2 linked regions of the Canis lupus familiaris genome follow. The protein of the gene in region 1 binds, or shares a complex with, the protein of each later gene. Links are inferred from orthologs where the notes say so. Each region holds a gene or a part of one and is shown in the gene's direction. Other genes may lie near its edges.

Region 1 (5,080 bases):
GTAGGAGTTTTTTTAAATGTATTTTGGATATTAGCCCATTATCAGATATATGATTTGCACGTATCTTCTCCTGTTCAAAAAGTTGCCTTTTTATTTTATTGATGGTTTCCTTCACTGTGCAGAAGCTTTGTGGTTTGATAGAGTCCCACATGTTTATTTTTACTTTCAATGTTACTACTCCCTTGGAGTCAGTTCTAAAAAGCAGTGTTCCATGAGCACTGTCAGTGAGCTTTCTGCCTATGTTTTCTTCTACAAGTTTTGTGGTTTAGGTCTAACATTCAGCTCTTTAATCTGTTTTGAGCTCATTTTTTTGTCTGGTGTGAGAAGAAAGTGGTCCAGTGTCATTGTTTTGCATGTGGCGGTTGTCTAGTAGCACCACTTACTGCAAAGACTTTTCTTTTCCTATTGTATATTCTTGGCTTATTTGTTGTAAATTAATTGACCATTTAATTGTGGGTTTGTTTCTGGGCTCTCTGTTCCGTTCCATTGATCTGTGTCTGTTTTTATGCCAATAATACTGTTTCAATTACTGTAGCTTTGCAGTATAGTTTGAAGTCAGGGAGCATGATAGCTCTGAGTTTGTTCTTCTTTCTCTCAAGACTGCTTTGGCTATTTGTTGTCTTTTGTGGTTCCATATACTTTTGAAAATTATTTAAGCTCTATGAAAAATGCCATTGGAATTTTGATAGGAACAGCATTGAATTTAGAGCTTGCTTGTTTAATAATATTAATTCTTCCAATCCAATTCTGATCATGGAATACTTTTTCATTTAATTATGTCTTCAGTTTCTTCCATCAGTGTCTTATAATTTTCAGTGTGCAGGTCTGGGTTAAATTTATTCCTAGGTATTCTTTTTTATGCCATTGTGTAAAGGGGACTGTTTTCTTAATTTCTCCTTCTGATAGTTCATTATGAGTATATAGAAATGCAACCAATTTCATATTTTGATTTTGTGTCCTGCAGCTTTACTGAATTAAGTTATTGGTTCTAAAAGTTTTTTTGTATCAAAAAATTAAAGTTTTTTGGTGACATAGTGCTTATTCCTAAGGGCCCAGACAGTACGGAAGCTTCAGTTCAGGTTTGTTTTTACTACAAATTTCAAATGTGCCATTGAATGAATTTTTCCTTAGAAAATAGTATGTTGAAAATCCTGACTTTTCAAAGTTTTTCTGCTTCTTGTTTTAAAGTAACCTTTGAAGATAAGAAGCGTGAGAATTTTGAACGTGGCAATCTGGAACTCGAGAAACGGAGACAAGCGCTCTTGGAGCAGCAGCGCAAAGAGCAAGAGCGCCTGGCACAGCTTGAACGTGCAGAGCAAGAACGGAAAGAGCGGGAGCGCCAGGAGCAAGAGCGCAAAAGGCAACTGGAGTTGGAGAAACAACTGGAAAAGCAACGGGAGCTAGAACGTCAGAGAGAAGAGGAGAGGAGGAAAGAAATTGAGAGACGAGAGGTAAGCAACTGTAGAGCCAAGCCCACAATTAGCGTGTGTGCTCTGGTCTCCTTCTTAATTATTCAAGTAATATTAATATATTAATATGGTCTTTTTTTGCTGTAGTTCAGTGGTTTGAGTATATTCACAAAGTTGTGGGACCATAACCACTAATTCCAGAGCATTTTCCTCACCCCAAAAAGAAATTTTTAAAAAAAATTTATTTATTTATTCATGAGAGACACAGAGAGATGCAGAGACATAGGCAGAGGGAGAAGTAGGCTCCCTGCAGGGAGCTTGCTGCGGGACTCAACCTGAGCCACACGCAGACATTCAACCACTGAACCACCCAAGCATCCCCCAAGAAGAAATTTCTTACTCATAAAGCAGTTACTCTCTATTCCCCTCTTCTCCTGCCCTCAAAGCCACTCATTTACTTTCCACCTGTGTAGGTTTGCCTGTTTTGTGGACATTTCATATAAATGGAATCATGTAATATATGACCTTTTGTGTCTGGTTTCCACTTAGCATGTTCCCAAGTCCCAAGATGTAGCATGAATCATTACCTTATTCCTTTTTATGACCTAATAATATTCTATTACACAGATGTTCCAAATTATATTTATCCATTTATCAGCTTATGGACGTTTGAGTTGTTTTCTCCTTTTTTGAACGATTATGAATAATGTTTTTTTATTATGAATAATGTTGCTAAGCTCCAGCTTTTGATAACATAGTCTTGTAACAAACCACTGATATCAGTTAAGAATTTTTCAGATTTTTTTTTCTGCATTTATATATGTATATAGAAATATAAAAGGTTATATAGTGGAGAGATTGGGGGTTTGGTGCAATTTTTTTTTTTTTTTTTTTAGTGGTGCAATTTTTTTTAACCCTTGTAATAGTATCATACTAATTACATTGTTCTGTGCCTCTTTTTTCTACTTAAAAATAATATGTTCACTATATTTGATGGAAGGCTTCATAAATTTGGTGTCATACCTGGAGAGGGGCTAAGCTAATCTTTTACCTGAATTTCCAGTTCTAGCATTTTGCTGCAGATGCAGTGCCATTATTCTTTTGTGTGAATGAAATATATTTTACATATGGAAGATTTTTCTTTATAAAAACACAATACTTTGGTTTCATTTACTGTTATTGCCTCAGAAAACTTAGAACAGTAAGCCTCCTTTAATTCAAGCAAATGCATATGGATACTAACAGGGTTTTAACTTCCAGAATGGATAGCCAAAAGACAGACCACCTACCCTTAATGTTTTTTTGTTTTGTTTTGTTTAAAGACACTTTAGAGTATTTATTCAGAATTACTTAATAGTCATTCACCATAAGCTACACATTGGTACTTCCTAGAGTACTGGTGAATAGGTACTCCACCTTTTCCTTCTAGGCCCAAAGGGTAGTTGGAGGACCAGTACATATGAAGCAATTACAATAGAGTGCTAGATGGCTTTGGACATGTACTTTACCCAGCAGCCATCAGAGTCAGCTTTCAAAAGAGCGGACATTACTACAGAAATTGTGGAAGCTTATGTGGTGTTTAAAAAAAAAAACATGATGGGGGGGTAGGGAAGCAACAAACTTTTAAAACTTGAGATAAGTAATTTCTCATTTGATAGAAGGTGTTTTTGGCTGGGGGTACTTTTTGCTTTTGGTTTTTGTCCTGGGGTTTTGGTATACTTTACTGGATTAAAGATATTTTTCTTGGTCTTTACGAGTCAATAAATAAGAAAGAACAGGATTTTTTTGTTTTGTTCTTTGTTTTTTTATTTTAGTCACATCAAGCATTCTTGAAGGCATAAACAATCGAATTCTAATGATGAAATGAATCTTTCCTGGTCTCACCTAACTAAATAGCTTTTCTCAATATTCTTTTTTTTCCCCATAGAAGAAATACTAGATTTGTATAAATTTTGTTTTACTATTTTGTAATAGAAGCTTTTGTAGCATGTACCATTTTATCTCTAAAAGTAAGGCCTTACTAGATGTTATGTTTATTAGGAGACGTTGTATAATGTAAGGACTAAAATGTTAGTCAGTTGTCTGTTTGCCAATGCCACAGGCTGCAAAGAGAGAACTTGAAAGACAGCGGCAACTGGAATGGGAACGAAATCGAAGACAAGAGCTACTCAATCAGAGAAACAAAGAACAAGAAGACATAGTTGTACTGAAAGCAAAGAAGAAGACTCTAGAATTTGAATTAGAAGCTCTTGTGAGTGATGTTTGATTATGCTCTGGGAATATGGTTGACCCTTGAACAACACAGGGATCATGGGCACAGATCCCCTGTAGTCAAAACTCTTAACTTTTGACTCCCCTCAAACAAAACTATTAGTAGTGTGCTATGGACCAGTTACTTAACACATATGTTATATGTATCTTTAAAGTAAAGGAAGTTAGAGGAAAGAACATGTTAAGAAACTGATAAAGAAAAGTAGACACATTTACAGGACTATACGGTTATTTCTTGAAAAAAATCCACATGTAAGTGGACCCATGCAATTCTAACTTGTGTTGTTCAAGGGTCAGTTGTCTACTAACACTGAACCATTAGAAATGGTAATAATAATAATAGTAATTATTTTTCATTTGTTAAAGAATGATAAAAAGCATCAACTAGAAGGAAAACTTCAAGATATCAGGTGTCGATTGACCACCCAACGGCAAGAAATTGAGAGTACAAATAAATCCAGAGAGTTGAGAATTGCTGAAATCACCCATCTACAGCAACAATTACAGGTGAGAAAATACATTCCTTAACTGCTCTTAGGCTTACCTGCTTTTCCTCCAATTCATTCCATTCGTTTATCCCTACAAGTGTCCAGCATTTACATATACATGGAAACTAATAAAATTCTGGCTAGATTGATGGAGAAGAGGAGGAGGGAAAAGGAGAAAGAGCGGGGAAAAGTTGAAGAGGGAGAGAAGATGCAAATTCCCATTATAAGAAATGTAAGAACTGACATCGCTACAGATACTGTAGACTTGCAAAAAATTAAGGGAGTATTGTAAACAACTTGATACAAATAAATCTGACAACTTAGATGAAATGAAAAAATTCACTGAAAGATACAAATCATCAGGCTCAAGAAGAAACAGAAAATCTGAATAATACTTGTATATCTATTAAATACATTTTGCAGTTAAAAGTCGTACCACAAAAAAGCCTCCAGGCCCAGATGGCTTCACTGATGAATGAAAACTTTAAGGAAATAGTGCCATTTCAACACAAACATTTTTAGAAAATAGAGGAGGAAGGAATACTAATTTCTTATTTATTACCCCGATACCAAAACTAGGTAAGAACATTACAAGAAAACTATAAACCAGTATCTTTCAAGAATTTAAATTAAAAGATAATAATAGCATATTGAATCAAGTAAAATATTTTTGTAAATGGTAAAACACCATGACCAAGTATGGCTTATTTTAGGAATAAAAGGTTGGCTTAACATTCAAATTTCAACCAACATAAATCACCATACAAACAAGACAGAGAAAAAACTAACACATCTTGGTACATGCAGGGCAAAAAAAAATTATGACCCACTTCACCTATTCATGATGTAAAAAATAGTTTTTCATTTCTGATGTAACATTTTAAGATATATATCTACTTTTTTTTTTTAAGA
Region 2 (4,103 bases), on another chromosome or scaffold:
CATAGAGTGTGTGTCTGACTTCACGGAGGCACCAGTCCTCAACATCCAGTTCAGGTAAGGAGCTCATGGGCCAGTGAGTTGAATGACCAGCCTACTTTGGCTTGGAGCTTGGGGCTGTGGGGTCATGCCTGCACAGAGCCATGTCCTTGGGAGTCCTTCGTCCTAGGCGAGTCTCCACATCCTTCCTTTGGAGGTTGTTGTGAGGGCTAAGTGGGTAACCCAGATGAGTGGCATCACCCACCATGCACACTGCAGTGTTAGGTGCACAGCATGTAGAAGGTGTGTGCAGGGTCCTGGGAGGCCACTGTGAGACGGCGCTATTTCTGAGGTCCTGTGCTCTTTCATGAGAGAGAATGGGAGAGAGAGTGAGAGAGAGAGGCAGAGACATAAGCAGAGGGAAAAGCAGGCTCCCTGTGGGGAGCCCAATGCGGGACTCGATCCTGGGACCCTAGGATCACGACCTGAGCCGAAGGCAGACAGACATTCAACCACTGAGCGTCCCCATTTTGGTTGTTTTAAAAGACTTCTTTATTTTAGAGAAGGAAGAGCGGGGGGCGGTGGGCAGAAAGAATCTCAGGCTCCCAGCTAAGTGCAGAGTCTGATGCGGGGTTGATCCCAGCACCCCAAGATCACAGCCTGAGTGAAATCAAGAGTTGGACACCAACTGAGCCACCCCACGCCACCCCAGCGCCCTACGTTTTGATTATTAAAAAAAAAAAATGGATTTTGTATTACTACTCTGATCCTGGCTGTCATTTGTCAGTGAGTAGGACAGAATGTATGTGAATAACTGATTTCTGTAGGGTGTTTGTACGGTTCAAGTTTTGGAACAGCATGTTTTCGAACATTAAAAACACAGAGAACTGAAGACCGTACTTTGTAGAATTTAGGGAAATAGACCTGCAAATTTTTGTTTCATTCTGTAGGCAAATGCTTTTTTTAGTCTCTTTTCATAGCAAAAAGGAAAAATCCCATACAATTTAAACCAACTTGGAGTTGTAGGAAATGGGCTATGAGGAAAAGTGAGGAGATGTGGAAGCCTTAGCTGGGCCATCCTGCCTGAGGCCCATCCTTGACCTAGTCTGATGGGCCTAGTGGTGTCTGGCTGGAGCAGCACCCCTGGATGTGCATATAGAGGCTGTGCCACCCTTCCAGAACATTCCATCCCCCACCCCCCGACCACAGCAGCAGACATTCCCTGTGCCCTGCTGATTGGCACATTAGGGTTTTGGTTGTCTAGTTGAGTGTTAGGATTTCCGCTGCCCTTGTGCCCTGCTCACTGCGTCTCCATCTTACCCTGTAGGTATGGGGGAACCTTTCAGAATGTGTCCGTTAAGCTGCCTATCACACTCAACAAATTTTTCCAGCCCACAGAAATGGCTTCTCAGGATTTCTTTCAGCGTTGGAAGCAGCTGAGCAGGTGAGTGCAGGGCCATGGGGCAGAGGGCAGGGCTCGGTCCTCCCATACTGACCAGGCTCGAGGTGGTGACTCCTGATTATACCTCACAGTCCCCAACAGGAAGTGCAGAACATTTTCAAAGCAAAGCACCCGATGGACACAGAAATCACCAAAGCCAAGGTAAGGCCCACTGATGGGCATTCCCAGGGTTGGGGTGCTTCCTGGTCTCTGGAGGTTGGTCGGTTGTGTTATTGTCCCTCCAAGGTCCCCAGTCTCACTGCCCTGCATGCCTGTCTATTGCACAGATCATTGGGTTTGGTTCTGCACTCCTTGAAGACGTAGATCCTAATCCTGCAAATTTCGTGGGGGCTGGTATCATACACACCAAAACCACCCAAATTGGATGCTTACTGCGTTTGGAACCAAATCTGCAAGCCCAGGTCAGACTTCTTGAGGAAATTGTTATATACACCCAAGTTGTGTGCTTGTTGTGGTGTCACGTGTGTTCTAAGTGGAGTCATCTGAGGAGTTCCCATAGATGTGTACACCTGTGTAACCTCCACCACCCTGCTGGTACATAGACCATTTCTGTCACCCCAGAAAGTTCCCTGAGGTCTGCTCTCCATCATTCTCAACCTCTTGTGGAGGCCGCCACTGTGGGGCTGCTGTTGGGCCAGCCTGGCCCTGCCCTCCAGTACTCAGCCCTGTAGCTGTGTGTGTGTGTGTGCCCTTTGGGTCCCCGTGGGCTTACCTAGTCCTATGGATGGGCACCTGGGCTCTCCCAGTGTGGGACCATTCTGAGTAGAGCTGCCGTGTGCCTCTGTGCAGCTGTCTTTCCTTTACTTGGGATGAGCTGCAGGCTCCTTCGGTCTGGGCACTGCCAGTTTTCCAGAGTTCTGTGCCCCATCTGCAGCATGCTCCACATGTTGCTGCCACTTGTTAATTGTTAAACTTTTTGTATTTTAGGTGCTTGAGAGTATACGTGTTTGCCTAAGTCTTTGTAAAAATGTGGGTGCCTCCAGGGAATTGCTGAGCAGGGGAGCCCGAGGGGCCATCTGCTGTCCCAGAGTACTCTGCTGAGGGTGCACGAGCCCGCATGTGGCCACTGACCTGCCGTGTTCTGTTTCAGATGTACCGACTCACGCTGCGCACGAGTAAAGAGACCGTCTCTCAGAGGTTGTGTGAATTGCTGTCAGAACAGTTTTGATCCACGAGGATGGAGGATCAGGCTCCTGTGTCTTGCATTTTTCTTCATCTGTGTCATTTGTCTTCATTGCTGTGCTGCAAATAAACAGCCCTGTGTACAGGCGTCTCTCAGCCTTGCTTCTCCAAACCAGATCCCTTTTGGGTTGGAGTGGGGATACTAGTGTGTGTTCAAGAACGAGAGGCTGAACTTGGATTACAGTGGGGCCAGAAGAAGGGAGCATGGGCCCAGGGTCGGTGTTCATAGAGATCAAGACAGTTCTGTACTTAATCTCCCAAGTAAAGGGAAATGACAAGTTTCAATGAAAATACAGATTTTTTTTTTTTTGAAATGATATCAAAATGCTACTGCTTTATTGCTGATGGTTCTCTGATTCTCTGAGAGAAGCAGCAGCAGCTTGTCTGTCATGGGGCAAGATCTTAACTAGGCCGTTTGACTATTGTAGTGGGTAATGCCAGGTGCGGCAGATGTGTGACAAGGCCCATGGCTGGCACAGTGTGTCCATGAGTGGTCCGAGTGCCGCCTGCAGGGCCCTGGGTGTGTGAGCACAGTGCACATGGGCTGGCTGCAGCGTCTACTGGATGAGTCTCTGGGGCAGGGTTCAAAATACAGAAGTTGGAAATATTGGTGTTTATGTGACCATCGATGAGAGCACGGATGTCGGATTGAATTCTGTCTTTCCCAGCACTGTGGTCTTAAAGGGGTGTTGGTTTGTGCCACCTGAGTGAGGCCTTTGGTTTACAGTGCAGCAGCTGGGGGTTGCTGCTGGGTCTAGAGGATGTGTAGCCAGTCTCACTCGTCCCTGCACTCCAGAGAGTAGACCATAATCATACTCACCTTGGCCTTCCTTTGTTTGATCAGAGGGTCAAGTGTGGGTGGCAAAGCAGGTTCTGCAGGGTGAGCTACTCTTTCCTGGGGTGTGTGGGACCTTGTGTCCCACAGGAGGGCCTCTGTGTGTGGCCAGGGATCAGAGAACCATGCCGAGGGTGAGCTAGAGCCCAGCTTCTGTATGCTGTTCCTGTTCTTGGCTCTCGTTTGTCACTGTGTTGGCTGTGTCACAGACACAAGCAGCCTGTTTGCACCTGAGGTGGCTGGGGCAGGGGCAGGTCTGAGCCAGGGCCTCTGTTCTGTTGGTGGGAGGATGTGTTATATGGGTGAGGGTATTGCTGGCAGACTTGTCCTAAACAAAAACATCTGTTGTTGGCACCTAAGGGGCCCAGGGAGAGCCGGGGTCTGTGCATTCCCCTGCTTTGTTAGCAAGGACTGGGCTCCTCAGAGACATGCCCTGGGGGAGCCCTGTGGAGTGGCAAGGGGCACAGGCAGCCATTTGTTGCAGTGTGGGTCTCAGGAAGGCAACTGGAGGGAGTCACAGTTTGCGTGCTGGTGCCACTGCAGAGGCCCATGCTCAGAGCCCTGTACCTACTACTCTGTGTAGGTGTAGGTTTGGGAACTCATAGATGCCCAGGGTATAGGGAGACAACACAGAGCTCACAGGCCAGC

What was found. Proteins that work in one complex are often made in the same cells at the same time.
Region 2: the proteins of ITSN1 (region 1) and AP2A2 are in contact, whole or in part, in a crystal structure (PDB 3HS8), measured with the Mus musculus proteins. The link is inferred for Canis lupus familiaris from reciprocal best matches to the Homo sapiens genes ITSN1 and AP2A2. Residues at the interface, in NP_034717.2 of Mus musculus: Asn841, Trp843, Ala844, Phe846, Ser847, Ser848; in XP_006536218.1 of Mus musculus: Glu308, Gly320, Val321, Glu324, Gln329, Gly331, Leu332, Lys333, Phe346, Gly348, Asn349, Lys350, Gly386, Ala387, Gln388.

What each region holds. Positions count from the first base shown.
Region 1 is NC_049252.1:28,938,668-28,943,747, forward strand, and holds part of ITSN1 (intersectin-1), read left to right. Parts: intron 1-1,188; coding exon 1,189-1,451; intron 1,452-3,510; coding exon 3,511-3,660; intron 3,661-4,046; coding exon 4,047-4,187; intron 4,188-5,080. UniProt on the Homo sapiens protein: Adapter protein that provides a link between the endocytic membrane traffic and the actin assembly machinery. Acts as a guanine nucleotide exchange factor (GEF) for CDC42, and thereby stimulates actin nucleation mediated by WASL and the ARP2/3 complex.
Region 2 is NC_049239.1:45,788,307-45,792,409, forward strand, and holds the end of AP2A2 (AP-2 complex subunit alpha-2), read left to right. Parts: coding exon 1-54; intron 55-1,303; coding exon 1,304-1,420; intron 1,421-1,509; coding exon 1,510-1,579; intron 1,580-1,704; coding exon 1,705-1,839; intron 1,840-2,528; coding exon 2,529-2,606; 3' UTR 2,607-2,716; downstream 2,717-4,103. UniProt on the Homo sapiens protein: Component of the adaptor protein complex 2 (AP-2). Adaptor protein complexes function in protein transport via transport vesicles in different membrane traffic pathways.